Coturnix japonica: one gene and its partner. The protein of the gene in region 1 interacts with the protein of each later gene in a pairwise test. Links are inferred from orthologs where the notes say so. Each region holds a gene or a part of one and is shown in the gene's direction. Other genes may lie near its edges. The genes, in order: TNIK and CNKSR2.

Evidence for each region.
Region 2: the proteins of TNIK (region 1) and CNKSR2 interact in a two-hybrid assay, tested with the Homo sapiens proteins (2 studies listed by BioGRID and IntAct). The link is inferred for Coturnix japonica from reciprocal best matches to the Homo sapiens genes TNIK and CNKSR2.

What each region holds. Positions count from the first base shown.
Region 1 is NC_029524.1:17,419,548-17,423,372, forward strand, and holds part of TNIK (TRAF2 and NCK-interacting protein kinase), read left to right. Parts: intron 1-948; coding exon 949-1,063; intron 1,064-1,632; coding exon 1,633-1,803; intron 1,804-2,093; coding exon 2,094-2,237; intron 2,238-2,538; coding exon 2,539-2,673; intron 2,674-3,201; coding exon 3,202-3,302; intron 3,303-3,825. UniProt on the Homo sapiens protein: Serine/threonine kinase that acts as an essential activator of the Wnt signaling pathway. Recruited to promoters of Wnt target genes and required to activate their expression. May act by phosphorylating TCF4/TCF7L2.
Region 2 is NC_029516.1:106,570,579-106,573,624, forward strand, and holds part of CNKSR2 (connector enhancer of kinase suppressor of ras 2), read left to right. Parts: intron 1-2,739; coding exon 2,740-2,955; 3' UTR 2,956-3,046.

The sequences.
Region 1 (3,825 bases):
ATCAGGACGTGAACAGCCCTGCTGCTGCTGCAGGAAGATTTGATTTTTGCTGCTGTTACGGCTCTTAATGTAGGTCACAAATAAAGAGCACCCTGGATAAATACTGTAATAAGAAGAATGGTGGCACTTTGACTCCCAAGTAAGGCTGTCATTTTGCTTGGGAGAAAGCTTTGCTTTGTTTTCTGCCTTAACAAAGCAATGGTTTTAAAAAGAAAGCAACGTGGTGCTGCCATTTGTTCCTATTCAGATCCCCTTGGTAAAGTGTTGGCTCTGGCCTTCCCTACAATATGTTCAGGTTCAGTTTTCCTGACTTAGAAATGGCTTTTTCTGCAGCCTCACCTGAAACGCTGTAGACAATCTAAAATACTTCCTTGGAATTGCAAGTAACCCATCCCTGCCATACAAGTGACATGTGGTGGAGACCAGAGCTGGGGAGGATGGAGCAGTGTGGGATGTGCTGTGTTCTCACCTCTTCATTCCCTGTCCTATGCTGAGCACTGCCGTGGGGTTTTCCCCAGGGCTCATGTGGGGCAGTTGCATTAACAGGAGAAACAACCCCTTACCACTGATGTCCCATCCTGGGCTTTAAGACAGGTGTGCTGTGCTCAGAGAAGTTGTTTAGCCCTGCGTTCACTTTTGCCTCTGACACTGCGGCTTCTCCGCTAACCAGTCTGGCTGTGCTGTGCTTCTACCTGCGAGCCAAGCCCGTGGCACTGGGCACTGCAACCCTGTGCCTGCACTTCTTGTTCTCTGCTGCTCCAGAGGCATCCACAAATCCAATGGAATGTCATCCATGATGACTTCTGGGGGAGGAGGAGTAAATGTTCACAGAGGGCTCACAAAGGGCGCTGCAGGGACAGGTGCTGTGTTCCCATTGCAAAGCCACACACACCAAGTGTTAGTGTTATTTCTGTGCTCTGAGCTCTCTCTGTGCTTTTTATTTTGCAGTATGGAATGGGAAGTAGCACCAAAGCTTCTTTCACCCCCTTTGTGGACACCAGAGTGTATCAGACCTCGCCTACCGATGAAGATGAAGATGAGGACGAAGAGTCATCTGCTACTGGTAGGAGACAATGTGACCTTTTGTGAAGCCTGAATAACCCCCTTGAACCTCTCAGATTTCATTTACTCTTGTGTTTATACCCTTGTACATTCCAATTTCCATCCAATTCCTTCTCCCCATCACCAGTGAAATAACCCCAGAAAGAGAGAATTCGGAATAGCAGAAGTCCACCCATCCCTCTCTGCCTGGGCACCTGGGAGAGTTGTTCCTGGCAGAGCCAGGAGGTGGCATTCACTCCAAAAAGCTTGCAGTTCCTTAGAACTCATTGAAAACAGATGCATGTGGACAGGGTTAGGGCTGGTCATCCCTGTGGGCAGTGCTGGAGGATGCTGCCTGTTACCGCTTTAGTGTTGCTTCCAACCTATGAGAAAATACTGCTGTTATCTCTCCAAACTTTCAGATTATAACAGAGTGATGACATCCCTGTCAAAAAAAAAAAAAAAAAAAAAAAAAAAAGAAACAATAATAGATAATAGTATATATTTGTATATAATATAACATATAATAATAATCAAGAATTTGCTTCCATTAACCAATCAAACCTCACTGTCCTGTTGTTTCCTTGTTAGCACTGTTCACCAGTGAGCTGCTCAGACAGGAGCAGGCCAAGCTGAATGAAGCCAGGAAGATCTCTGTGGTGAACGTGAACCCCACCAACATCCGTCCCCACAGTGACACCCCGGAGATAAGGAAGTATAAGAAGCGCTTCAACTCAGAGATACTGTGTGCTGCTTTGTGGGGTGAGCTCCTGGTTACATCGTCCCCTCAGATGAGCTTAATGGCAATGCAGCATCAATACTTCATGGCAGAACCTGGTTCATGCCTCTGGTTGTCCCGCTGTGGTTGTCTCTATCTTGTGCAAGGCTTATGTCCCTGGGACCCTTCAGTATAAGAACGATGCTTCTTGTCTATGAGAATGCTGCCCTTAGTTACAATTGTCACTTAGAGATAGCAGAGAATGAACTTGGGCTGTAATCCTCTGGTGGGCAGCAGCCGTGGCTCCTTGTGCCCATTGGTCTCTCTGTTTCAGGTGTAAATCTGCTGGTGGGCACAGAAAATGGCCTGATGCTGCTGGACCGAAGCGGGCAAGGGAAGGTCTACAACCTAATCAACAGACGGCGGTTCCAGCAGATGGACGTACTCGAGGGCTTGAATGTCCTTGTGACAATATCAGGTACAACTCTCACCCCATCACTGACCTGGTTCCAAATGCAGGAAATGAGAATGTGGAAATTAATGTGGGAATCCTGCAGAGGATGGTCGGTCATCGAATCTGGGAAGCTTTTCAATTTCATTGTGGAAAGAGCTTTACTTTTATCTTCCTTGAGGGAAAATAAACATTGGAATCTCAGGGTTTCCCATGCAAACCCAGCGTGGCTGTGCACAGAGGACTGGAGCCCAGGGCTGTTCCTGGGGCTGCGTGCTGCTTTGTTACCTCTTTCTGCCTCTTACGGCTGAGTTTCCTTTGCCAACAGGAAAGAAGAATAAGCTGCGAGTGTACTATCTCTCCTGGCTGAGAAACAGGATTTTACACAATGACCCTGAAGTAGAGAAGAAGCAGGGCTGGATCACAGTTGGGGACCTGGAAGGCTGCATCCACTACAAAGTCGGTGAGTGGCTGGGGTTCCCATGCTGTGGGAGGCTGTGGTGCAAAAACACATGGAGGCATTTGTAGTTCCCAGTTCAGCCATGAAATGAGCAGCTGGGAGGTTCAGCAATGAGAAGGGGCTGTGTGCCTACAGCTCTGAGCCTGGGGAGGGTGATGCTCACTGGACTGCCCAGGGCTGCTCATCTGCTCCTCAGTATTGGGAGTGCCTCAGTCACAGCCTGTGTGATAAAATGCCTTGGTAAACATCTTCCAGTTTATCACATTGATCGTGTGCTGCAAAAATTACAAGCAAAAGATACTTGGAGTCTTTGGGGATTTTTATTCTGTAGCCCTAGATCTGATCTGATGATTTCTATTGAAAGTATGGGTAAACTGCAGCCAGAAATAATTTTACTATTGGTCTGTATGTATTAGGTGGACACTACTGCATGAGAACCAACAGAGAGCCTTAGCAGCTGCTTCTGGAGATAAACTGTGCTGTCTTGAAGCAAAAAAAGAATGTTTTAAACATCTTTTATTCTAATTTTAGTGAAATACGAAAGAATCAAGTTCCTGGTGATTGCCTTAAAGAATGCTGTAGAGATCTATGCTTGGGCTCCTAAACCATATCACAAGTTTATGGCATTTAAGGTATGTGTGCCTTGTTCCCACAATACTCTGTGATTGTAAATACATGAGGTTTCTATACTGTGTGGTGTAGGAAGATGTTTTGCCTACACAGTCCGGCTCCTCTTGAGGACCAATGAAGATAAGCACCCACAGGATTTCCTTTCAGTCTTGCTGTGCGGTGCCAGGGCCTTCAGACCCCAAGGACACAAACAAAACCTCTCCTCAAAAGCCTTATCATCGCTGTACTTCCCCTGGCAGAAATGTTGTGAAGCCTGTAGCCGTAGAGATGTGATATGTGCCGCTTATGGCTACCAATGAAGCATTAATACTGCTTATCCTGGGAGGCTTCATTGCAGACGTTGTAGAAAGCTCACCAAATGTCTTTTAATAAAGCAGAGTTGAGGTTTTAGGGGATTTTTTTTAACCTTGTTTGCTTGCTTCAACCACAGAGAGTGAAATCAGGCTGGCTTTATTTTCCATAGTTATTTTGCAAGGTCCCCTCCCCTTCTGCAGTGTGAATTCTGTATCAAGAAAGTGCAGGAGA
Region 2 (3,046 bases), on another chromosome or scaffold:
TCTAAAGTGAAGCACGGTCACTTTTGGAATGATGCGGTACCTTTTAAAACATTTTATTATTTTCTGATTACTGAGTTTGTCTGGGAATGAACTGTGTGCTCGGTTTCTGCATAGACCAGTGGGATCACTGTGTTTAATCAGAAGGATTGATTAAATAAATAGATAGTGGTAATGATGGATTTGAAGATTTTTATCTTTATTGTAAGTGCAGTGAAGCTAATTTGACCTCCCTGTCAGCTTCTTTATTCGTTACAGCAAATCTGTACTGTTAGAGATTTCAGCAAACAATATGCTGGATTTCCCCAGGGTCTCTGTTAACTGTATTAAATTACTACATTTTAAGTCACTAGATAATTGTACAGTGGATTTTCTAACAGTTTTTATCAAAGAGAGTTTTACCAGCATTAATTACTTTGGTTTTCCATCACCTAGAGAAGCATTTAAGCAATATTATTTTCATGCTGTGAGACTCCAGCCCTGAAGAAAGTCTTTTCTATGTTTAACTTTTTGCACTGTATCATCTCATTGAAGGCAACTGAATGAACCAGGGTATGTGAGTCTTTGCTAGATTGTAGACTGATAGCAAAAAGACAAGGTGCTCAGGCTTTCCATGTAATTTTTACAGGAGAAACTGAAGCAAAATCATAGCCACCTCAGATATGCAGAACAGGTAGGAAATTCACACAGAATCTCTGCTGTTGCACCTTGGTGGAATCCTTCATGCCAACAGTATGTTAGAGTTGCTAATCTGAAATATAAAAAATAACACATTTCTTGATACTTGCAGGAATTACACAGCCTTGCTGCTGTTCCATATCAGCAGCTTATCATCATGCTTAATTGCCTTTCTTGCTAGCATTTACTGATACCTGAGTTACATTATGCCAGTGGTTTTCTACAAATGGAATTGTTTTCTCTCCAGGGTCTTCTAAAAACAGCTCATCCCTTTAACCCAGCAGATGCTTGTTTTCATACTTCTCTGTATCTTCTTTCTTTTAGACCAAGCAAACATAATTTGTTTATTCTCTTTCCATGACACATATTTTCTGAACTAGTCACCAATCTTATTTGGACCAGAATGACATAAATAATTGACAGTGCAATGCCAGCAAGTATCAAAGACAGATTATTGCTGTTTCTTGCATATGGCAACAGTGCAACGTGACGTGTGCCTGTTTTGCAGAGGCATCACGGTAACTCATTAATTGTTTCTAGCTCCATCCTAGCTCACCTCTGCTATTGTACTGGTAGTAGCATTTATCAGGAGCTACTGCTGTTAGCTAATCAATTGTACCCCATTTTGATCAATGCCATTGAGTTCTCCTTCCTGAATATGTTCACTTGCACTTGCCCATTGGATTTGGTGTTCTGAACTTTCCCTTAATTCATTAAAATGATTAGTAATCTGTACAGCCCTCTAAGTTGGTTCTAGCTCACACCACCCATAGGCTATCTGTTCCATCAGCAATGGAAAGACCTTTCTGCTTTCTTTGTCCTGACATAGCCACAAAACCATTCTCTTCAGCAAGTATGGCAGTGCTGGTTTGTGTGTACAGGTGACAACCTGCAAGAAGCACGTTATGGCAGTTCATGCAAATATATGGTAACTGAGGAATTCCAAAGGTTATCTTCCTCTGGTTAGCCACAGCTGTTCCTGAAATTGAGTATTCTAGCATATAGCATTAATTAGCTACTGATTGCAAAGCATGAAAAATACCTTTAAACATACTACTTGTTAATGACATCTCTGACCCTTCTGATAACTGTTCCACCAACATGAGCTGACATTGCTGAATACTTCCCTTAACATGCTCCCTAGAGAGGTTTACCACATTTGCAGAATAAACATGGCAAATGTCAGTTAGAAGTGAGGTCTGTGAAACCCATCTGACATGGGGAATAGAGAAGTTCCTGGTGACCAGACCATGCCTACACAAAGGAGCAGTGCTGGATCTTGCCTGTTACTTGTTCTTTCAGGCTCAAGGCTGGTGCATCCATCTTCCACCACTAATAAAAACAGTGAGCAGCTGTGTGTGTATCTGCAGCTTGCTCTGACCCATGCTGGCTGCTTGTCATCTCTCAATAAGCTAATCACCAGTCAGTGATTGGGATACAGCCACATCCCCTGCCCCCGTGACAAGTGGGGAGGTGCCAACAGCTGTGTTAGATTTTACCCATTCCTGCATTCTGCTTGCCACCACCATGGTAGGAGAAGGTAGCAGCCAGCCACCCCACAGCATGAACTGCTGGTGAGGACATTACCAAGCTGAAGATTCCTAGCACAGGCATTTGCTCAGGTGTCCCCATGACAGGCCCTGTAAAAAAGGCTTAGCTCTGCTGGCGGGCGAGGGGCCATCTGTCTGCATCCCACGCACAAACACGGTATTTCTCATGCTGATCAAGAAGAGCAAACAGATGGCGCTTGGCAGCATGAAACCGATCCTGAAAATTAAAGCAGCTAGTAGTAAACAGCTCAGGGCTTTTTTTTTTTTTTTTTTTTTTTGTAGGAGCTGAACAAGGGGTGAGAGGGGAGTAGGGGCCATTGCTGAGGGTGTGGGACAAAGTGAGGAGTGCCCAGTCCTGCAGGGTGATGAGTGACATCATGGAAAGAGGCTGCCACATATGAGCAGTATCACAGCAGCCCTGTTTCCCAGACCTCTGTGGCATCCTTGCTCCCACCCTACCCATGCTGTTTGCTCATTGCCCACACTGACTCTACTTGTCTTTCTTCTCCCACAGGCCAGAGAAGGAGAAGTAGCCATTATAGACAAGGTTCTGGATAATCCAGCTTTGACATCTAGAGACTTTCAAGAATGGAAACAAATATACTTTGACATCTTTTTGGACATCTGTCACAACAGCACCCCGAGGGGCTCTGTTAATGGCTCATCTGAGGTTGACGCACTTATAGCTTCCTTAGCGCACACGCACTCCTACATTGAAACACATGTATAAGGGACCCTCCATTTGCTACACTCCGAGCCTTTAAATAAGTGCATATATTAGGTTTTATATCAATATGTGGGACTTCTAGTAAATTATCTTT